Oryzias latipes: one gene and its partners. The main gene of each other region encodes a partner of the protein of the gene in region 3 in a complex. Links are inferred from orthologs where the notes say so. Each region holds a gene or a part of one and is shown on either strand. Other genes may lie near its edges.

Evidence for each region. Proteins that work in one complex are often made in the same cells at the same time.
Region 1: vti1b (region 3) and stx5 share a complex: the UniProt entries of both Homo sapiens proteins name them as parts of the SNARE complex. The link is inferred for Oryzias latipes from reciprocal best matches to the Homo sapiens genes VTI1B and STX5.
Region 2: vti1b (region 3) and bet1l share a complex: the UniProt entries of both Homo sapiens proteins name them as parts of the SNARE complex. The link is inferred for Oryzias latipes from reciprocal best matches to the Homo sapiens genes VTI1B and BET1L.

The regions. Positions count from the first base shown.
Region 1 is NC_019868.2:11,881,909-11,889,982, forward strand, and holds the start of stx5 (syntaxin-5), read left to right. Parts: upstream 1-3,193; 5' UTR 3,194-3,212; intron 3,213-8,074. UniProt on the Homo sapiens protein: Mediates endoplasmic reticulum to Golgi transport.
Region 2 is NC_019864.2:3,546,223-3,554,204, forward strand, and holds the start of bet1l (BET1-like protein), read left to right. Parts: upstream 1-2,548; 5' UTR 2,549-2,619; coding exon 2,620-2,638; intron 2,639-5,068; coding exon 5,069-5,154; intron 5,155-6,033; coding exon 6,034-6,090; intron 6,091-7,982. UniProt on the Homo sapiens protein: Vesicle SNARE required for targeting and fusion of retrograde transport vesicles with the Golgi complex. Required for the integrity of the Golgi complex.
Region 3 is NC_019880.2:1,874,007-1,882,080, forward strand, and holds vti1b (vesicle transport through interaction with t-SNAREs homolog 1B), read left to right. Parts: upstream 1-3,180; 5' UTR 3,181-3,388; coding exon 3,389-3,485; intron 3,486-4,410; exon of another isoform or gene 4,411-4,433; coding exon of another isoform or gene 4,434-4,473; coding exon 4,474-4,532; intron 4,533-5,290; coding exon 5,291-5,488; intron 5,489-5,562; coding exon 5,563-5,736; intron 5,737-6,318; coding exon 6,319-6,380; intron 6,381-6,906; coding exon 6,907-7,000; 3' UTR 7,001-7,655; downstream 7,656-8,074. Other genes in the region: retinol dehydrogenase 12, read right to left, coding at 1-154, 1,335-1,453, 1,927-2,141. UniProt on the Homo sapiens protein: V-SNARE that mediates vesicle transport pathways through interactions with t-SNAREs on the target membrane. These interactions are proposed to mediate aspects of the specificity of vesicle trafficking and to promote fusion of the lipid bilayers.

The DNA of each region.
Region 1 (8,074 bases), on a different chromosome or scaffold from region 3:
TTGGGTTCCTCACCTTGAGCTTGGAGCACCCGATTTTCGATATCCCAGGTGAGTGCGCCGATTATGCACGTGGAGGGGACTATGGTGGTGGTGATCGAGTTTTCCGTGGTACTGTACTTGCGGGACAATGCGTCTGGTTTGATGTTCCGGGTTCCAGGACGGTAGGTGATTGTGAAGCGGAACCTGTCAAAAAACAGACACCACCGGGCCTGACGAGAGTTGAGTCTCTTGGCGGTTCTAAGGTAAGCGAGGTTTTTATGGTCTGTCCAGACAATAAAGGGATGCTCAGCCCCCTCCAGCCAGTGCCGCCACTCCTCCAGGGCCAATTTTATTGCCAGCAGTTCACGATTCCCCACGTCGTAATTTTGTTCTGCAGCCGACAATTTCTTTGAAAAGAAAGCACAGGGTTTGAGCTTTCCAGACGTGAGTTCCTTCTGGGAAAGAACAGCGCCGACCCCGGAATCCGAGGCGTCGACCTCCACGATAAACTGGCGTGAGGGATCTGGCTGAATGAGAATGGGGGCTGTGACAAACAGTTTCTTGAGATGGTCAAAGGCCTGTTGGGCTTCTTGGGTCCATTGAAAGTTTTGATGGGTGGAAGTGAGGCGAGTGAGCGGGGCAGCAATGCTACTGTAGTTGCGGATAAAACGTCTATAGAAATTAGCAAAGCCCAGAAATTGTTGCAGTTTCTTCGGATTGGTAGGGGGTTCCCAGGCGGAAACAGCCTCGATCTTGGAGGGATCGGGTTTTATACGACCTGCCTCAATGATGTAACCTAAGAACTGAACAGACTTGACATGGAATTCGCATTTCTCTGCCTTAACATACAGCTGGTTCAATAAGAGACGGGTGAGGACTTGACGGACGTGTTGTTCATGCTGGGTAAGATTGTTTGAGTAAATGAGGATGTCATCAAGATATACAAAAACAAAGCGATTTAGAAAATCTCTAAGAACGTCGTTGACTAACCTCTGAAATACTGCTGGGGCATTAGTCAACCCAAAGGGCATAACTAGATATTCATAATGCCCCAGGGGGGTATTGAAGGCAGTCTTCCATTCATCCCCCTCTTTGACACGGACAAGGTGATAGGCATTACGGAGATCCAGTTTTGTGAAGACGTGGGCTTCCTGGACGGAGTCGAAAACAGAGGAGATTAAGGGCAGAGAATATTTGTCCTTTACTGTAATTTGATTGAGTTCCCGGTAATCTATGCAGGGGCTTTTCGACAAAAAAGAAACCTGCCCCAACAGGGGATGATGAGGGACGAATGTGACCCAGGGATAGCGCCTCCTGGATATAACTTTCCATGGAAAGTTTCTCAGGCCCAGAGAGGTTGAAAATGCGGCCCTTTGGTAAGGTAGCACCCGGTAGTAAATTGATTTTGCAATCGTAGGGGCGATGGGGAGGAAGGGCGCTTGCCTTAGATTTGCAAAAAACATCACGTAGGTCATGGTAACAGGAGGGGATCTTATCCAGATTAATGTTACTGGGAGAGTCAGTGGTGTGATGATGAGCCGAAGGTAAGGCGGACGAGAGACAATTAGCAGAACAATAGGGGCTCCAGTTAGTTATGTGTCCTAAACTCCAATTAAATTGTGGGTTATGCAACTTTAACCAGGAGTAGCCTAGTACTATGGGCGTATGAGTGGACTGGGTAATGAAAAATTGCATAACTTCCCTGTGGTTGCCAGAGGTGAGAAGTTGAACAGGTTTGGTTCTATGCGTAATTCTGGAGAGGTGCTGCCCTCCTAAGCCCGAGGCCTCTACAGGAGCTTCCAGAGGTTCTGTGGGAAGACCGAGTTTAGACACCAGACCATGATCAATTAGGCTCTGTTCGGCTCCAGAATCTATAAGTGCCCTGAAAGCATGAGTTTGGGTTTTACAGCATATTCTGACAGGAATGCACAGGAAGCTTTGATTTTCCTGAGTGCTGAGGTTGCCCCCCCGTGACCTGTCACTCAGCGGGGGGTTTTGGGAATTTAAACGCAGAGTGCACTGTGAAACTAAATGTCCATGGGCTCCACAATAAAAACATGAACCCTCCTCTTTTCGCCTCTGTCGTTCTTCTGCAGATAGTTTAGAATGATCTCTGTATAGGTCCCTCAGATGGTTTGGAGCTTGCGAGAAAATCCATTCTGAGGGGCGACTGGGCTGTGATGGTAGAAGGGGCCGGATCGCTGATGGTTTTCTTCGGGGTCTGTTGGCGATCATGACGTCGCTCGGTGAGTCGGATGTCCGAGCGGAGGGCTGCTGAAACGAGCTCTTCAAAGGAGTTAGTTTCAGGCTGAGTACAGAGATGGTCTTTAATTTCTTCATTCAAAGATTGATAAAAAATGCCCTTTAAAGCCAGATCTGGCCAGCCTGCTTCGACCGCCAGAATGCGGAGTCAATGACGTGCTCACTAACAGTCCGGTTGTGTTGTTTCAGGTTAAGTAATTTACGTGTGGCTTCTTCCCGTTTACGGGGTTGGTCAAAAATCAAACGGAATTCGTTTAGGAAGTGTTCATAGCGAAGGTGACTAATAGGGTTAGCAGAAACAAAGGCTTGAGCCCACCGAAGAGCTTTCTTCCGGAGAAAATTTATTATAAGGGTGATTTTACTGATATCAGAGTGATAATGCCTGGGAGCCTGCTGGAATATGAGTTGGCATTGAAGTAAGAACCCGCCACAGGCTTCTACGTTGCCTAGGAACGGTTCAGGCTGTAACCGGAAGTTTTCGGGTGAGTTGACAGGACCGGAAGCGGAAGCTGCATTGTTGCCGGAAGACGGAGTAGAAGCTCCTATAGCAGGGTTAGCATGTCGCTCGGTTAGCTCGGAAAGCGTTTGGTTCATACCTCTGATGCGAGAGATCGTGTCCTCTTGGACTGTAGTGACGCGGGTGACCGCACTGGAGAGGAGTTCCAGGAACCGACCTTGTTGGGAGACAATATTTTGTAAATCTTCCGGGCCAGCTGGGTCGGGGTTTTGGCTAGTTGTTCGTTCTGTCATGACTTGTCAAAGCTAGACAGACCCAGACGCTGAAACCCAGAAGGAAGACAGGAGGTGAGTGAAGGTAAATAATAGATTTAATTTTTCCAGCGGATGAATTTGTCCTGTTGTGGCGGGGAATGGCAGGAACGGCAACTCCAGATGAGAGGGTGGATCTTGACGTGGCTGGAGGTTCGGCTGAGGCCAGAGCTGAGGCCTGATGTATGGAGCGTTGAGAGGAGGTAGGTAACTCCGGGGATAACTCCGCTTGGGCTGAAGCTGAAGCTGGCGTCCACTCGTGGGATATGTAGGTCCTGGACATAGAAAGACTAGAGTTTAGACGAGGGTAAAGATACGTAACAGGAAAACTTGAAAGAGACCAGACAAGCACCATCAGGGGCAACGAACTAGCGTTGAATTCTGGTCCTGGCGCTCCTTAAGTAGGTCTGGCAGGTTGATGAGATGAGTGAACGCAGCTGGGACGAATCAGTGGCCAAGCAGAGAGGGGAGGGGGAAGATAGCTGACAGAGGCCCCATGACAAGGAGTTCACTAAAATTCACCTCTGAGCTTTTGGCAGGACTGTTGGCATGAAGTAAGCCTGCCCTGACATCATCCCTTTGTTTACACTCTCTCCCACTAGCCTACAGCCCCTCAGAACCCCAACCTAACATTACAGATGCAACAAAAATGGCGAGCAATATCGAAACTATCCTGCCGTACAGTTTTGAGCCAGATCTCAGCTCATACAAGGAAAATGAAGGCGGAAATAGATCTAGTCGTCTACAAGTGGATGCATCAGAATAGAGAGGAGCTCAGAGCTTGTGGCCTGCCAATTGTAGCACCTATGTCACTGCTTCAAGCTTTTTCCAACAGCATTTGTTTTATCTGCTCCTGATTCATAACGATTTGAATAAAGAAACACTCAGAAATGCAGTTTTGATCTTAATTTTCTTCATAGATGTCAAAAAAACGCCACAAGAACATGTTAAAAACACCCAAATCAGGATTTTTATTGGAGTGGGTCTTTAATGTGAAGCACAACTGACTACTATATAATTATTGGACGAATACTGATATAAAAGTTAGGCTCAATCATTTTTTCTGACATATTATTGACATATATACTATTTAATACCATAAAACAATCCAAAAAGCACACAAAGGGAGATTTTCTGAGTGGTTTAAAGAAAGGTGTGACATATGATGGAACGGATAAGGGAAGGTACGACGGTACAGGGTTCAGACGGGTGGAAGGCTGGGGATCTGGGGCTGGAGGCATACTTGTGGTCTGAGCATGCTTGGGCCTGTCAGAAAAAGGATGCAGGTACCAGCAGGAGGTTGAGAACATCAGAGAGCAGCAAGATCGTATCTTTCTCTTTCCATGCTGTACCTGAGTGTTGAATCACCTGAGGAAGCAGCCCATCCTGTCCTTGTCCAAATGTCTGTTCTGTCTTTTTGCTGGGAAAGATTCAAAATGGGTCTTTCAATTATAAAATTTCATGTCATTGGTACATGAGGTTTGCTTTTATATTTCTTATTTTTATTTCATTATCAGTGTTTTGCCAATTAGAAAGACATTTTGTTTGAAAGGGCATAAGAACAAAAACATGAAGTCATATTTACAACTTTTTGTAAATGCATCCTTGACATACTTATTGGAACTTCATTTAATATGTAAAACTTATACACACATTCTACTGCCAGGATGCATCTCAGAAATTGCTGAGATTACTAAAATTACCAAATATAGCCAATTAGTCTCTAAATCCACTTATTCCTGTTCAATGCCATCGTCTACCCAACCACTGAGGAGGGAAGGTAGAGTACATCCTGGACAGTTTTCCAGTCCATAGCAGGGCAACACGGAGACAAACAACTACAAACGTTCACACCCAAGGGACTATTAATAACCACCAATTGACCTACGAAGCATGACTTTAAACTGTGGGAAGAAATCAGAAGAAACCTACGCATAAACGAGGAGAACATGCACACTCCACACAAAAAGGTGCAGCAGGGTTTTGACCCAGAGCCTTCTCCCTGTGAGATGAGAATGGCAACAACTACGCCAGCACCACCAACGTATTAGTAATAAATATGACACCTATTTTTTTATAAACGTCTTAGAAAAAATACAAAAACAAAGCTTGTGTTTAGGCCCCACTACTTATTGGACCGTTACAAAGAAATGGATAAACATAACGTTTGAAACGTGTCCCTTAACTCAATGCTTTCTTAACTCGAAATAAGTAAAGTGAACTGGGTCCCTATTATTTTTTATTGTTTTATTTATATGTTTTATTGTTTATTTTAATGCTATTTTAAAGGCCTAAAAAGTATATAGAAATCACAAACATGTCATAACATGTATTTGAGAACACGTGTTGAACTTCAAGTCATGTCTGAAGAATACCAAGGAGAGGACCAAAATAATTTTGATCCATTAAGATAATGAATGTTTTTATAACTTGGTTCTTTGTGTTGTTTACATTTTCTGCACTTTTAAAGTCCCACTCCAATCATCTTTTGATCTATTGTAAAAGGGTTCCCAGTGGTATTTTAATTATGATTATGCCGTTTTTAGCCCCCAAAAAAACCAACGTTGTTTTCTGGAACATGGTTTCTGCAGAGCCAGATGTCAGCTCAGTTGAGGAAGCCAAAGACGCACTTGTATATAGTTATCTGCAAGTGGACGCATCAGAATGGACCAGAGCTGGAAGCTTGTGGCCTGCTGATTGTAGCACAACTACAAGCTTTTTCCAGTGGTATGTTTTCATCACCTCCTGGTTCACATTTGAATTAAGAAGTACTCAAAAATGCGATTTTAAGCAGAATTTTCTTTTGATATGTTCTTCAGCATTAGAAAAATGCCACAAAAACATGACTTAGGCCTTATACAACACATGTAAAGCAAGGCAATTTCATTTGCATATCGTTTTATGCAAACAAGGGAAATTAAAAATGCTTTGCAGAAATAAAATTGTTTTAGCTACATACAGCAAAGTAAAAAAAAAAAAACTATGTTTAAACTGGAACTTCAATCAAGAAACAGTTGGTTAACATCTGAGTTCACCAGGAGGTTGGTTCTAGGGATGGGTACCGTGCCCCGGTACTGAACCAGCCCCGGGGCCACATTGTTCAAGACCGCAGTATCGTTAAGATCTGACCTGAACGGTTCTGCTATCGGTACTGGAGAAGTTACTTTTTCTTTTCTTTTTTGTGTCCCACAAGTGTTATCTGCCATATTTAACTCACCAAGTCAGTCAATTTTCCGTTAATTAATTATGATATTAATTTTGGTATTCTCGTTGAAGCGGGGGCGGGGCTGTTTTTCAGACAGCACGCGCCGCGCGCGCACACACACACACAAGACAAGGCAGCGCACACACAGTCAGTGGCGATCTCGTAGGGGACACGTGAGCGCCCTAGACTAAGAACACCCGTTTCTGCGTAAAATTAATGAAGTTTGCATCAAGGAGCCCCTACCATGCTGTCACCTTGCTGCTACGATGACCGTATGTTGCGCTGTCTGTGTAGAACACGCTGGGGCGGCGTGATCTACACAAAACAAACAGGTAGAGAGGCGGGGCTTAAATTCACCGCTTATGATTCCAGACCCGTGACAAACTATCAGCTGCTTCCTAAAACTTATTTTTTTTCAACTTTATTGAACATAGTATTAACATGCAAAATACTTCCTAATACTTAATAATAATTAATGACTAATGATAGTTGTCATCCGTAAAATTAATATAAATTATTGGGTTTACTGGATTTAAACAAAAATAAATAAATAGAAAGGAGTCTGTATCAAAGTGAATTTGTTTCCATCATCTCACTCAATCCTAACTCTGGTGTTTGACAGACAGAAAAGTCTATTCAAGGTTGTGGAAAATGGACAAAAGATCAAAGGAAACATCACGCTCATAAAGAATAAAAATAATTAGATTAAATAATTAAATAAATATCCTGTCTGGAACATTCTCATGTATAAAGTAAAATCTTTTGTAAAAAAAAAACAGTGTTGTTGCATAATGAGGAAATAAAACACTTTATGTTCTTAATTTGTTATTTATTTATTTTTCGTCCTCAAAAAGTATCGATAAGTGTACCGTTAAAATACCGGATCGATAAGCAGTATCGATAAGAGTAGTAGTACCGTTAAAACCTTAACCATACCCATCCCTAGTTGGTTCCATCAGTGAGCTTCAGAATAGCTTAAAGGAGCTTCATCCAGTTTGGATTCTGCCAGCGTGTTACTTCCTGCAAATCCTACACATGCTCGGTTTGTAAACCACAAGTAGACCCAACAAGTCCCGCATCTTAAAATGATTCATAAACTTGACTTAGCACTTTAAAATCAATTCTATATTAAACTGGTAGAGCAGACAGAAGACATTTGCTTCAGTCCAGCCTGCAGGAGATAAAAGCATGAATCACCTTCTCTAAATCTAGGCTAGACATTAGATCTCTGAGTTTCCCTGTTAGATTGTGATGATAAAAGGATGATTTAGCCCTAATGTGAGGCTAACAAGTCTAAATCTATTGTGACATCAAGATTTCTAACGTGACTTTTGGTCTTTATTACTCTAGAAACTATTGTTTTAGCTTTCTGAGATTTGATCTGTTATTTTTATTTCATGGTAGACGTGTTATATTTTCTTTTTGATGTACTAAGCTATCTAAAGAAGAGGGTCAAGCTTCAAATAGTTCCTCCTGTGCTTTAATTTAGCCAAAAATGATCTATTTAATATTGTATTATATTATATTATATTATATTATATTATATTATATTATATTATATTATATTATATTATATTATATTATATTATATTATATTATATTTATGTTAATCATTAGGTTAAATCAACTGTTCTCTCAATATTTTGAAGTACATTTTCACTTCACCCTATCATGTTCTACTTCTGAAGATATGATAATCAGTCATTTAAAAGTAGTTAAGTAGGAGTTAAGTAAGGGATCACAATATTATTTGTTTCTTTTGAATTGATAAAATAAAAACATCAAATATTACAATAAATGACTACATGCAATATTTGAAAAGGACTTTGAATGGAGTTTGATAACTTATTGAGTGCAAGC
Region 2 (7,982 bases), on a different chromosome or scaffold from region 3:
ACAAACACGTGACGCACACAAACACAAGCGCAGGTAGGTGGATTACAGCACACAGGAGGATTACTGAACATGCACACACACAGGACTGTTACTCTTTAACATTCAGGACCAGAGTGTGTTTGCACAAAAGAAGACTAACTCTGACCTTTCTGCACACTTTTTAAAGGTGAGCGCTATAAATATGATGTTCTGAACACACCAAAAGCAGGAAGAGTCGCTGTGTCAAAGCCTGCTGCCAAAGGGATTAAACCTGGGTGTGGGACAGATGCCCAGTAGTTTGTGTTACCCACCTGGGTTTGCCTCACACAACATCATCATTTGAATTTGAGTAATTTGCTCTTCTTGGCACTATGCATGCTGCTGCGCATCAAAGCTTGTGTCTCCCACTGGAAAAATATAAAATTAGGTCTTAAGGTATGCCAGCTCAGGCCCCTGCTGTTCTGGTTGTACATCACTGACCTCCCACATCATCCTTACATTGTGACGTATGCCGATGATGCTGTGCAGTTAACACAGGGCAGAGATGATTAGACCAAAGCTACAAACCTCACAGTTCCTCTTAAGACAAACTGCAAAGCTAGTTAAAAACAGACCTGTCTAACGCTTAGTCCGAAAAACACAAGTAATCTGGCCGATGAGGGCGCAGGCGTAACCTGCCTCCACCCTCACACCCCCTACTACCCCCTTTTTACCTGCCCTCACTGGCCTAGGAGATGCTTTGAGCCCTTCACATTCCTCTGCCAGACTGGTCAACATGTGACAAATTCATGAGAAAAACATTTTTTTTCCAAACAGAAGGGTTTACTGTAGTCTCCATAAGAACCATTGTAGTTTTTGTTTGTCTGAGAGTGAAGAACAGATCTACATCACTTTATAAAAATCTGCAATGGTAAACTTTTTCCTTGGCAACTGAGGTTTTTTTGTTAACCACGCCAATTCCTAATATGTTCATATCACATATCAGTTTGTTCAGCTTGAGCCAACATTCATGTATCACTTTTATTTTTTTAATTTTCCAGGAAAAAAAACATGCTACGAATGAAGGAATGCCACTTTTGCTTGTTTAAGTATCTCAGATTTTTGCTCTATTTCAACCTCACATTCAGACATTATCGATCACCCGGACACCAACTCCCTGGCAAGGCAGCAGGGGCAGACGTGACCCCCCAGACACCCACACAGAGAAGCAGATCGAAGGGGTCTGCCCCCCTAGACAAACGGCACCAGCCACCCAGTCCAGAGGTAGCACAAGGTCCAGCGCAAGGTCACACCCACCTGAGAGTTCCCACAGCCGCAGATCAGGCGTCCACCAACACCCAGGCGTCTGCATCCCCCAAGAAACACTCATGTCACAGCCTAGCCAACTACCTCCCTGCCCTGTGGGGAGTCCAGCACAGATCCAGGCAGGAAGAGGGCTCCAGCGAGAGACAAGGATCCCTGCGAAAAATGGTTAGCATGGACCGACCAGGCTCTCTGGTGTTGATGATGATGAGGAGTTACATAGCAAGAATGCACGGACCAGAACCAGAACCAGGGACACAAACACCACCAGGCTCAGATGATGCTAGAAATCTCAAGGATCCCCCTCCCTATATGTGGAGAGAGGATTGCCGGGTCAATGAAGCCAATACCCAAAGAACACAACCAGCACGGCTGAGCCGCTGACACATGATTTCTGTGAGGACTCTCATTCATACAGGAGAGTTCCAGAGCAGAACAGTTTCCAGAAAACAAGGGTCATCCAGACCCAAGACATTTTGTCAATACTGTAAACACAACAACACAAAACACTTCAATTAGGAAAAAGCACAAGCTTGATTAAAAAGGTGTGAACGAGGTATTTCTGCTCATTGTTTTTCAAAAGTGTGATTTGTAAACAAAAATGTTATTCAAGAACTGAAGAATGCAGTCAATTTAAAACGAAACATAGCAAATTAAATTAAAAAAAGAACAGATTTAATCAATAGAAACAAGGGCCTTAGCTTAAGCGTAAACAGTTCAAGAGTGATGTGTTTAGAAATCTTTTTTTTAATCAAATACTTCTTTTTTAAAATAACTATTCCTTCCTTGTGACCTAGATTTGACTAAAATTCACTTTAGAGTCTATAGTTTTAATTTGTTACCTTCTCGCAATAGAAAATAAAATAGTTATTTACCAGAGCAAACTCTTCGCAAAAAGTAGTGTATTTAAGTGTACTACAAGTATACTTAGTCTACACTAAAAGGTAGGCAGTATACTTTAAACTTTTATATCCATGCATTGTAGACTTAAAATGTTCACATTTCTTCAGAAGGACTCAGTTAGTATACTTCTTACACTACATGTACATGGTCTACAGTACACTTGCAATACTCATACTCAAGTAACAAAAACTTCAAGTAATTTTTACTAAAGGAACTTTGAATTGTTCTATAGAGCGTAAGAAAGAAACAAAAAATGAATCTTAAGAAATTATATAAATTGTGTTTTTCATCCCGATGAAAGCAGAGAACATTAATAAATTATGCGGTTCTGGATTAAACTTTCATTTCAACCTGTTCCGTTTCCTTCAGGATCAGAACTGATAACGTGTCGTAGTCACGTGTTCCGGGCAGCTGACTGTGACGTCACAAAGCAAGATGGCGAGCTGGGACAGAGGTAGGAAACCGAACACGTATTCACTTTTTAATATTTGTTCATCTTCGGTGTTTTAATCAGGATAAGACGAGTCCCGTAGATCGGAGGGAGTATTTAAAGCGAAATAAAGTCGGATTAGATTACGACCGGAAATGTGGAGCGTCTGACTCTGAGCTAACAGTAGTTTAGTTAGCTGTTGACAAGTCAGTGTAGCTATCATGAAGTGAACTAACTTTGAGCTGTCAACAAATTCGTTTATTTACATAAAACCACCTTAAGTTCTGAGGGATTTTTTTTCAAATAAATGTTCAAGTTTCACTCTATTTTTTCATCTTTTGGTTCCTATTTAGATAAACAAATTTCCTTTTTTTCGGAATCCGTGTAATTAGTAATACTATGGTCGGAAATGACATTACAATCTCTCATGTCCGTCGGTAACTTTGGTTTAACCTGAAATTCTGTGGTTCTGGTTCTCATTCGAGTTTCTGCTCAGTATTTAAAGACCCACTCCCATGAAAATTGTGTTTTTAACTTGTTCTTGTGCCATTGTTTCTCATTATGGAGAAAAGTAAGTAAGCTTAAAATTGCATTTCTGAGTTTCTTTATTCAAACTATTGTTAATCTGGAACAGACGGAAAATTGCAGTTTGAAAAAACTTGTAGTTGTGACGTAGGAGCTACAATCGGCGAGCCACAAGCTTCCTGCTCCGCTCCATTCTGATTCATCCCCTGTCAGTCAAATGGATCCATCTTCTGTCTTTGTTTTCCTTCTCTGAGCTGGACTCTGGATCTAAGCTGTAGGTGGTGTAGGTACCATAACCGCTACCACACTAGTCCCTGGAATCCACAGATGCATATGGGCCAGTTTGGAGAGCAGAGGGAACACATGCTGTTGAGATTTCCACCACAGCAGTGGATCTTCAGTGAGAGGCAGAGAAGAGGCGTCTTGATATTGTTTGACCTCTTTTTCTGCGAGGCTGCTGCTGTAGAGGCATAAGAGGTCTTCTTGAAGGTTTGACCCAGAAGATCTACTCGTGCAGACTTTCTTTTCTTGGTGGTGCTGGTGTCGCTGCTGGAATGTGGCGGCTCCTCATCCTCCAAATCCTCCTGTAGGTCATCACAAGACACTGGATCCCCTTCCTTTAAAGCTGCTTTTGACTTCAGTTTTGCAGACGTGTCTTGCAGAAACAAAAGAGATTTAAATCTAGGGTCTAGGGCTGAGGACATGCGTAGGAGATCTTTTTCCACCTCAGACTGATATCTCTTTGAAAGGTCTTGATCTCTCGAACCAGAGGAGAATCTTCTTCAGTGCTAGTTGAGTTGTACAGCAGTTTGGCATGAAGAGGAGCAATCATTGAAATGGTTGGATTCTTTTCCACAAGCATTGGTTTAAGTGCTTTAACCATCTCTTCAGCGCTTGAAATGTCATCCTCTGTCAATGCACAGTCTGTCACATTCTTTCTAACCTTGAGAAAAGAAAAAGAAATTCAAATTTTAGTGCTCTCAAGAAATGTATATTTTATCATTTATATTTAACCAATTATGCTTTCTAACTATAATCTTAATGTGTATTAGCAATATATATACATGCCAAGTAAATTTTTTAAGTGTAATGTAATTTACCGTATCCTCAGTCGAAAGGCCCCCGAACGGTTATTGCAGGCGAACGGTTACGGTACCTACACCAGATAGCTCTGATATTGCTCACCATTTTTGTTGCACTGCTAATATTAGTTTGGGGTTCTGAGCGGCTGTACGCTAGCAGTAGAGAATGTAATCACAGGGATCATAGGAAATGAGGACGGGCTTTCTCTGCACCAACAGTTCTGCCCACAACTCAGAGGTGAAGTTCTGATGAACTCCTACCGCTCTGCAGGAACTATGTCCTAGAAAACAACACAGTTATTTAGATTTGGGCTAAAAACATCATCATCATCATCATAAATAAAAAGACCATTTCTGGCTGCTGGTACCATTACAGAGAGTAAAAAGGTCCTCGGAAGTGACTCCTCCCTGAAAGTACACAGGCTCCTCGGCAGTACTGCAGGTACAGTCAGTACAGTCAGTACAGCCTTTCTGCAGGCACACTTCAGTCCAGTTTTTATGAAGGTGTTAGTTATATTCCCCCCTAAATATTCCTGGCTTGGGTGTTCAGTGATGATGGAGCAGCAGGCCGATATCTCATGAGTGAACTATCACCTTTTCTTTGGTTTCCTCCAGGTCATGGTACTTCCTACAGTCTCATCAGTAAATCTGTGATCAAAGATCTTAACATAGCATTCAAAAGTGCAGCTAGAATGAAAGCAAAACTTGAGGTCTGTTTTAAACCCATTCACGTGTAGCTTCTTTTAAATTGGGCTTTATTGACAAAAGTTTTTAATGTGTATGTCTGATTAAATGTAAAACCTTTGGCTAAAACAAATCACTTTTAATTCATCTTGTATGTTTTCAGATCATGACTCAGTGGATGACATGCTGGATGCTAAAAACAAACGTTTGGCTGAGAACCTGGCCACCAAAGTCTCCAGACTGAAATCTGTGAGTCAAACTAGAACATTTCTGCAGATTCCTGAAGATGATGTACTTTTATTTCTCTATTTGTAGCTTGAATGGAAGCAGAGAGACGAATACGTTTATACATTTATGCTTCTGTCAGACCTTACAGGATTTCGCAATGTTGCCATTGCACCAATTCACGGCAGTTTAACCAAATCCCACAACATTTTCTCGTGTTGAATTTCATCCAATTGCCCCAACTTTTTTGCGGCATTCTCATTTTGGAAAAAGTTGGACAGGTCACGCTTCTCAAACAATCAGTTTTAGAGGCTTAATCGTATATTTAATCAGTCAGACGTGTCCATTCTTTGTTCCGCCATGGCTGATAACGTCTCTGTCACATCTGTAGCTTCCTGCAGGTTCTGTTGTCAGGCTATGTCAAAAGTGCATAACTTAATGAAGCTTATGAATGTGTGAGTGTGGAACATCTAAATGGCAGGTGCAGACTTTATGCTTTAATGACTACAGTCAATGTTTCAAAGACTACCACTAGGTTATAGGGCGCAGTTTCAGTTATGGGGGATTTTTCCTGTATTTGACACACAAAAGGCGCTCCGGGGGTTAGGGCGTGGGCACGTTAAAACACCGGTACAACATGCTTGCTAGTGTGTGTTTTAAAAAAAAGGCAGCGGGAGCAAAACTGAGTTGGTTGTGATTTATTTTTTGTTTTTTCAGTCATCAATCAGCATCCAAAAATCCATCAAAGTCCTTTTCTTCTGTCCCGGGTTAAATAAAAAAAATGAATACAACCGCTGCATAGGGCCCCACGTTATTGTTCACCTGGGGCCTCCAAACTGCTAAGTCTGCCACATATCTGTCATCTTATGACTGCAGTTATATTTTCTCCTGCATGTCTGACAGCTGGCGTATGACATCGACAGAGAGGTTGATGATCAGAACGACTACCTGGACGGCATGGTAAGTAATCGGGAAATCCTCTTTTTAAATCTCATCCATCTGTACAAAGATGTTAGGTGGAGTTTTTTTTTTAGCTGTTTTTATCTGAAAACTGTTTTTTTCTTAAAATGATCGAAGCTGTTTCAAAACAGACAATTGTTGCTATACATCCCAGTTTTTATTTAGAATTTGCAGTTTACTTGGTTTATTACAAGTGTTGTGTTCTAAAAATAACCCGGGATAGGTCACATCTGCAAAGTAGGAATACAGATGTTTTAAGGCTGTAAAACTCCTCACTACACACTTTCTACACTCTTTTCAGAGAGACATGAACATTTTCACACTTTTCTCTTTTGTTTAAACTTTTAAAGTTCAAACCTTCCGAGAAAAATAATCCAGGATTATAGAAGGAAAACAAAGATCTGATTGTGATCAAAGATTTATCTTGATTTGGCAAACATAATACATTCTGAACAGGAGACACGCTACAAATGAGATACATTGACTAGATCTACAGCCAATCAGGACACAGAACACTGAAATAAAAAAAACAAAATAAAAACCATGTGAAATTGCATTAAGAAAATCAACGAGACGGTGAAACTGCGATATAGCAAGGGAAGACTGCGAGGAACAATGTTGAAGGCTGGAATGTCGTCACATTATCCAACATGGAGACACTTTCTGATACCAAAATGTTGGATTAAGACCCAATCACAGTTTTGGGCGTAAAATGCTTAGAAATAGAGCTAAATGTTTTTCTTGTTATTTTTATGAGCTACTCCTCTGTGACTCTAAGGGGCGATGAAATCAAATCACTTGTACCTTTTTTGTTTTTTTGAGTGATTTATCAAACAAAGGACTATAATCCAGGAAAGGGACTGCGTTTGTGTTCCCAGGGTTCTGCATAAACAGTTGTCTTGCTGTCACAGACGTAAGTGGAAGTGTTACTGGCTTCTTCACAGATGAGTGTGGAAAACCTGCTGTCTATGTGGTTCTCGCAATCCACCTGGAGAGTTAATCCTCCAAATTCAGGCCTTACAACTGTGTCTCAAGCAGGAAGGCAGTAGATCCCAGAAAGCAGAAGCTGTCAAATGAAGGTGTATTTTCCGCTCCCTGGTGATGATCGTGGAGTTTATAAGAAGCAGAACAAACACTTATTGATATTCCACTAACGTGGTTGTAATGCTGAAGATTTGTCAGTCTCTCTATCTTAAATAAAAAAAAGGCAGATAGTTGTGGGAAATTTCTAGACGGATCAAAGGCTTTAGTCAGACTGGACACATTTGGTTTCCTTAACTTGAACCGGCGTTCGTTTTCCCTGATAATCTGTAACAGATTTTCAGACTGAATACATCCAAGCGGTTGGGGACCAGGAAACGCTCTCTGAGCCATCTTTGGGGCTGTCTCGGTTCGTTTCCAATCAGACTGAGCTTTGGTTCGCTCTGAGATACCTCTGTCTGAATACAATCCGTCCTTGGAGCGAAACACCTGAACCAAAACGGCCACCGTAGCCGATTTAAACAGAGTAGGAATGAAGGAACGGGCGAACAGTTTTCAGCTGTTATTTTAGCACAGATGAAAAAGTTTCTTACACGCATTTCTGTGTCTCGTTACGCGGCATACACTCAGTGCTGCTGTGACGTCACCCTTGTAGTTCAGATATCTCTTCAAAACAATGCCATAACACCACAATGATGAGACAGCAACTCATTGAAATGTGGTCGGATGAGTTCAGACTCATCAACACAATTTTTAACGTGATACAAATCACTTCTCCCAGTTTCCCCAACAATCTAGATGTCATAAACACTCATTAGCGTTCCTTCATACCCAACATCTCCTCATCACTACAGTTGCTAGCATCCTCTGAGTTGAAGCTCACATGGCCCGTCTCCTTGCAGTAGCCGCCT
Region 3 (8,074 bases):
CTGAGGAATTTCTGAGCGAATGCTCGGATGGAGCAGGTGTCCGCCAAGTCCAGCTCTCGAACCTCCACCTGAGCCTTGGGGCACTCGGCTCGTATACTGGCTGCCGCCTCTTCGCCCTTTTCTGTGTCTCGGCACGCCATGATGACCCGAGCTCCTGAGAGACCAGCAAAACCGACACGGTAAGGAGACAAAAACCCATTCTGTGTAGAGTTCCAGCTTTAGATGAACTGATTTGACTGCGATGTGGACTCAGGAATCCGTATGTGAGAATCTAAATGAACCACGAGCTTCTAAAACCTCTTTGCTAGAATCTAAAGTAGCTGCTGTTACAAATTGATTCTTTATTGAAGATTTTGTTCATGACCTGTTTCTTTCAAGTCCCACCAGAGAGTTTGAACACTCTGCTGTGCTTTGGGTCTTTGCTCAAGCTTTGACTTGAGGACTTGGGGAAAAAACCTGAGCTTTAATATGAGGAGTCAGAGAGAAGACCTAAGTCTAGACTCCAGGAGTCGGACAGAAGACATGAGCTTGGACTCGATGACTTGGGCAGAAATACCTTAGCTTTGAGTCAATTTATTGGAGGAAAGACCAGAGCTTTGACTCAAAGAGTTGCTGAAAGGACATGAGCTTTGATTTGAGGAATTGGGGAGAAGACCCAAGCTTTAACTCGAAGAGTCAGAGAAGACCTGAGCTTTGACTCGTGTGGTCGAAGAGAAGATCTGAGCTTTGACTCGTGTGGTCGAAGAGACGATCTGAGCTTTGACTCGTGTGGTCGAAGAGACGATCTGAGCTTTGACTTGGGGAGTCTTAGAGAAAACCCGAGTTTTAACTGAAGAAGTTGGGAAGAAGCCCTGAGCTTTGACTCGATGAATTGGGAAAAACCCAAGCTTTGACTTGAGGATCCGTTGGAGAACATAAGACCCGATGACGAACTCAGGAAATAAACCAGATTCTTGTCAAATTGAAAATGGATTTGCAATTTGTGAAATCATCACCCTTCCACCCATGACAGAGGCCCATGAGTCAACGGTAGCTACCCGAGGCCTGTAGAGGCTGATATTCCTTTGGTCTGGTCTTGAGGTGAACTGGCTGAGATGTTTGTCCCCCCCTCCCATAAAATGATGTAAAATCAAGAGTTTTGTCTGAAATGAGGTAATCTGGTTAAATTAAATGTACCACCAGTGTAGTGTCTGCCCTGAGACTGGGAGGTTGTGGGTCTGAATCCACGGTCTGGTCATAGACACTTTCTTTGGATTGTGAGGGGTGACATGTTGATGCAGTGAGACCACTAATAGGACTTGGACAGCACCCGGGTCTCCTCGGACCCTACTCACCTCTCAGGGCCAGGTCCAGCGCGGTCTCCTTCCCGATGCCGGTGTTGGCTCCGGTGATGAGTACCGTCTTCCCGTCCAGGCGGCTCGCGGTCCTGCACGCGGCTCCAGCTGCATATCTTCTGTTCAACAGAGACAGCTGTTTTAACCCAACCCGGAGCGGCACGGCACGGTTTCCGTCTGAACGAGTGATTTCTCTGAGCCACACGGGTTAATTATTCATGGACAAACTTGGCGGAACGGCGCGGATCGTCGGGTCGAGCGACCCACGCCACCGAACGGGCCCGCCCCGCACCCAATGGCCCCGCTCCGCTTACGCATATTAATTGGACTCCTCCCACGTGCGGGCACCTGATAGGCCCGAGCAGCTCAGACGGAAGGCGGCCGCCTCATCCCGGTGCTCAAACGTTTTTCTGATTCACTCAAAATTCCGTCACCGTTTAGCGGATTTGAGACAAAACTCACACCGAAATCAAAGCGGCTGACTCAAATAAACACCTCTGGGGTTAAAAAGCAAAGCCAGCCTCCGTGCTGATGACGTCACAGCAGTGCAGGTACCGCGATGGGGGGACAGCGGGTCCCCGCTGCAGCTCACCGTATGTGCGGAGCGAACAGCAGCAGCAGCAGCGTCACCACCCCGATCCCCGCGATGATCACCAAGACCCACATCTGAGCGCTTCCACGGGCCTCTGCCTCCGGCCGGACGTCAGGGATGTGTGGGCAGAGCGGGGCTGAGCAGCTGATGTCAGGGCTGGAGGGGCGCAGCGGCACCGAGAGCGCACGTGCAAAGGATTGTGGGATTGTAGTCATTGTTGTGTTTTGTAGTCCTTTACATTGGAGGTCAAATACAAAAAAAATGTTGTTTTTTAATTTCACGTAGCAGCAGGAAAGATTAGAATGAATGCCAAAAGATATATATACAAACTAAATGTGTTTAAAAAACAGTAAGAAAAATCGTAAAGGATGAGTGAGAAACGGTTCATTATAAAGGAATACAAAACTATAGTTTAATTTAAGAAATGTAATGCCAGAATTCGAAGTAAAACATGGAAAAATGTCAATTATTGTAGATTGAATTTTGTAAAAGAAATTGGAAAAAAAGACAAAAACATATAAACACAACAGCTAAATCTAAATCCTCCCACAGCCTTATATTTTGCAAAAAAAATTTAAATAAATGTATATACATTTATATGATTTATTATCATTTGAACAATTATTATTATTATCACTAGAATCAATTACCATTTAAGTTGCCGTTATCACTTCATAAAACTGAAAGCTGCCTCTGGTTATTTCTGTATAACATTTATTTAGAATATCTATTGCATTATTATACGTTGTCCTCGAACAAAATAAGATAAAACATTCAAATAATATTAACTTTTTAAAAACTAAAAATGCATTTTCAGCACAAAAACTCAATTTGTAGTGAAGGTTTTATTTTATTTTTACAAATATCCTTTTATTTATTAAAATAATAGTAAGTTGAGTAACACATATACCAGTAGGCCTATTTGAATCAGTTGCAAAAATTGAATTATAGAAATCGCATCTAATTTAATTTTAATTGTACACATAAATTTAAATCAAAACATTTTCTTTCTTGTAACTAAAGATTCAATTTAGAACTCTTCTGTTTAACGAAATCAATAAACTACACTTCCCAATTTCCCCTGGAGCCAATGTTAGGTGTCTATTTAACTGCCTGACTAGAAATCTTTACTCTTTTCCCTTTTAAAATTCCGATAAGCAATATTGTGTGATACAGTTCATAAAAAATAAATTTAAAATGGTATCTTTAACACTATTTTAATTTTTAAATGTGTAAAACACAACCGATTATTTCATTCTTTTACGGAATTTTAGTCCTTTTGGTCACGAGGACCATCATGCGGAAGAATCCCGGGTTCTGATGATGAAGGAAGCAAAACAAACAGATTATCTTAACCTTTCCACCTACAAAAAAACCTTTTAAGACTCTTGAATATATCTATATTCAGGAGGAGCAATAATAACTGTATTCAGGAGGAACTATCCGGGTTGATCCCTGAGAAATGTCGTCGGAGGAATTCGAGAAGTTGCAGGAAATCTACAGATCTTTGTACGAGGAGCTGAAGTTAATTCCTGACAGAGCCGCGAAATGTCACGGAGGTAAACGAGGATCATGTTCTTTGTTGCTCATTGTGTTCTTAAAATCTCACTAAAAAACAAAGTGAAAGAGGTTTCATTCAAGATCATTCATAGGTTTCATCCAACAAATCAGTTTATGCAAAGGCTAAAAACAGAAAAACTGTTCTTTCTGTTTTCATTTGAGGAAACGTTGTTGATGCATATTTTTTGGGACTTGCATGGAAAAAACATCTTATTTGGTTTCATTAATTATGATAATAAACATTCGTCTTAATTTGATTTAACGAATCTCCTGATTTTACTAAGTATTTTATTCACAAAACTAAATTTAGCAATAAAGCTCCCAATTGTTTTGATTGATCGACTTAAATTAGATTTTACTAACAATCCATTTCCCCCAATACAAACAAAGAAGCAATTCATACTTGTCATTTTGCTCAGGTTTGTCATTTCATATAACTTTATTTTTGTATATTTATCCCTCTGGTGTTTATAATTGATGTACAAGGTAATGGTCTTTATTATTTACTGTACGTCTCCTGGGTTATGAATGAATAAAACTAACAAAATCTCACTCTGATCATCTTTTGATCTATTTCCAAAGTCGTCTTAAATTATGATCATGTTTTTTTTTATTTAGCCAAGAAGCTGTGTCGTTTTCTAGGACAGCAGTTTGTTAGAAATTTGCGTCAGAGTTGTGGGCGGGACTGTCGGCAGGAGTAAGCCCACCCCCACTTCCCGTCACCCGTCTGTTTACACGCTCTCCTGCTTACAGCCTCTCACACCCTCAACCTGACGTTACAGGTGCAACACATCGCAAATATACGTTTTTCAAACTGCTTTTTTTTCCGTCCGCTCCCGATTCACAACGATTTGAATAAAGAATTACTCAGAAAGGCAGTTATAAGCTACATGTTATACATGTCCCCCATCGTTTTCATGGCAGTGGGTGTTTGAAAGGATGGATGGATGGAAGGAGCCTCTGTAACCTGTGTGCTCTGGTCTGCAGAGGAGAGGAAGAGGCTGGTGAGGAGCTTCGATGAGCGGCAGGGAGAGGCTGAGGAGGTGGTAAGCAGATGTCCTCCTTCCTGACGGCTCACATTCATGGAGTCATTTTGCGGTTAAACACAACAGATGGCACATTCATTATTAAATATTAATTTTTAAAAAAGGCTTTGAAAAAATCAAACTGGGGTTTTTGGTGCTACAGTCAAGAACCAGCGAAGACTTGAAGTCAAAGTTCAAATATTTGGTTGCGTTTCACACACAAAAATAAGAATATTTGATCAAATTTTGTTCATCTCTTCCTGTTGGAGGGAAAACGAGCTTCTAGTTTCACATGAAGTCATTGTGCGTTTATCAGCTGATTAACCTTTAATTTCTTTTTTTCATACTGTTTTTACATTTATTTGAAATGAACAGTGTGATTATGGTTACATGGTTTGCATGCAGCTTTAAGTTTAGTTTTCTATTTTAAATTTCTTTTTGTTCTTTTCATTCATTTGAAATAAAAGAAAAAAATGTTTTATTGTTTTTTCCCCTCTTTTTTATTTTTATTTTTTACAGCAAACAATACCAAAAAAAAGAAAAGCAAAGAACAACAAAACAAACAAATACCCTGCAGATTTTACAATTAAATGTTCAAGTAGAGGTTGACTTGTCTATAGAAATAATCCATTAATGGTTGCCATGTCTCAGGTGTAATTTCTTTTTTAACTGAAGAGTTAATAATTCCATTTTTCTTGAACCTTGTCGGCGTTTCTATAGTCGTTTCAGACGCTAAAATCCATCTTTTTGATCAAATGGACTTGGATTTTCTCTCACAGTTGCAGGGCATGGAGGACGAGCTCCGTGCGGCGCCGGCGTCCTACAGAAACGCCATGAGCACCAAGCTGCGTCTGTACCGCAGAGACATCGGCAAACTGCAGAGGGACATGAAAACCTTTGCTCCCGGCTTCGGCCCCGCCCCCCTGACGTCTCACGGCGACCGCCAGGGCCTCTATTCACCCGAGAACCAGCAGAGTGTGAGTGTGGACCTTCACGCCTCACAGGTGTTCTGGAAACCTCCTGACTTCCTGTTTGTCCCTGGGGGGTGCAGACACACCTGCAGTCGCAGAGGTCGCTGCTGCTTCAGGGGACGGACTACCTGAACAACGCCACGCAGAGCATCGAGCGCAGCCAGCGCATCGCCGTGGAGACGGAGCAGATCGGTACAGACATCATCGAAGAGCTGGGGGGGCAGAGGGAGCAGCTGGACCGAACCAGAGACAGAGTGAGGCCGCCGCCTCCTCCTCCTTTCCTCCTCCTCCTTTCCTCCTCCTCCTTTCCTTCTCCTCCTTTCCTTCTCCTCCTCCTCTTTGTCCTCCTGCTCCTTTCCTCCTCCTCCTTTCCTTCTCCTCCTCCTCTTTGTCCTCCTCTTCTTCCTCCTCCTCGTGTTCCTCCTCCTCCTTTCCTCCTCCTCCTCCTTTCCTCCTTCTCCTTCTCTTCCTCTTCCTCCTCCTCTTCCTCTTCCTCCTCCTCCTCCTCCTCCTCCTCCTCCTTTCCTCCTCCTCCTTTCCTTCTCCTCCTTTCCTTCTCCTCCTCCTCTTTGTCCTCCTCCTCCTCGTGTTCCTCCTCCTCCTTTCCTCCTCCTCCTCCTTTCCTCCTCCTCCTCCTTTCCTCCTTCTCCTCCTCCTTCTCTTCTTCCTCCTCCTCGTGTTCCTCCTCCTCCTTTCCTCCTCCTCCTCCTTTCCTCCTTCTCCTTCTCTTCCTCCTCCTCTTCCTCTTCCTCTTCCTCTTCCTCCTCCTCCTCCTCCTCCTCCTCCTCCTCCTTTCCTTCTCCCGCGTCACTCGTTTCGTTTCTTCCTCTGTTCAGTTGGTGAACACGGGAGAGAACCTGAGTCGAAGTAGGAAAGTTCTGCGGGCCATGTCTCGGCGGTAAGCTCACCCACCACTCGGGTTGATTCAAAGGGTCACGTGTCAGTCAAAAGGGCCACGCCCCCTTTGTGCCCAGCATTTATGTACAGTACTTTAAAAAAACATAAAAGCACATAAACATGAACACAGTCAAGAGTTGGAGAACAGGAAGAAGAACAGGCTTTGGATCCAGACTATAAAAAGTCTCCCTCAGACAGCCCTCAGGTGTGGAAGCACACCTGAACGTCTGAGAACGAGGGCGTGTTCACTCTCAGCGGAGCGAGGACAATCGTTTTATTGAAGCAGAGTATTATGGGTAAAGCAAGAACTGCTCATAACACAAGAAGGTCACGCGTGGTAGAGTGTCCGCCCCGGGAATGTCAACAGCTGTAGAAGTTTATGGGATTTTGGCGTCTTAGAGGCCGCGGGCACTTCCTGTTTGGAACGCCAGGGAGGAGGAGTCACTTAGACCAGTTCGCATATACAATAATCAAATAAACGCTTAAATCCACCGATGATGAGGAGGGTCTTCCTCTCTGTCCTGCAGGCTCATGACAAACAAGCTGCTCCTGGCTGTCATCATTCTAATGGAGCTCGCCATCCTGGGCGCCGTGATCTACCTGAAGTTCTTCCGGAAGTGAGGGAGCGTCTGGAGAGGAGGAGCTTCTGCCCTGTAGCAATAATCCTGTTGGTGTGAGCGAGTCCGCTCTGAGACCAGGCCCTTCCTGAAGACGTCTGACTAGAGAAGCACCTCCTTTGACCTCACAGAAGCTCCTCAGAGGGACGTTTGCTCTTGCCAGGGGTTTTCTGAAGGTCACGGGGTCAAAGGTTTCGAGGTCAAGAAATTTCTCTGTTTGGCTTTGAAGGCCTGAGATGAAGCCAGAACGCTCACAGTAGTAGAAATAACCCTGAGAAGTATTTCTGACCTCTTACACATGTGGCCAAATTTTCTTTTGCTCTAAATGTAAAACGAGGACCTAATCTATACGGTATGCCATTTCCTTTACCTACACATAAATAACACCACTTCCTGTTCAGTGCTTAGTTGGCTCCATTAAAGCTAACCTGCTACTCATCTGTTTGGTGTTATATCTAAAGAACGTTGCTGTGGAAAAACCAGAATATTCCTCCTCAAAAGATGTGGAAAAATCAACTGTTGCAGTTCCTCAATTGACCACTAGAGGCTGTTCCCCAAAGGAAGATATTTCCAATTTAGATGGCCTATATCCTGCTTTTCTGAAGCTTTTCTGTGTAAACTACATCCATGTGACAATAAATGACCTTTGGCACACTAAAGAACACGTATTTTAATGAAATATTCATTCTACCTGGAAATAAGACTCGATCTTGGAGGCTCCGCCTTTCGCTCCGTGTGGGTGGCGCTCAGGTTTTTAGAAGAATACTCAGAAATGCGTGAAAGGATCAAAATAACCGCTTTGGGGTTTTCTGTGAGGAAAAACATCGTAAAACACTTAAAAGTGGATTTTACAGGATAAAGGCCCTTTAAAAAGACTAACTTTACAACCATTATTTCTGCCTTTTATCATTAAGATGCACTGCAGGAGTTAGGAAATGAATGTAGAACACGTTATTTCTCGTCACTTTTGGCCTCTTGGAGCATCTCATTGAAAAACCAACATCTTGCTGTCAAAGCCCTGAATGAGCAGATTCCATCTCTTCTCTCCGTTTTTTATGTGTTCTTTTTCCAGCAGGCC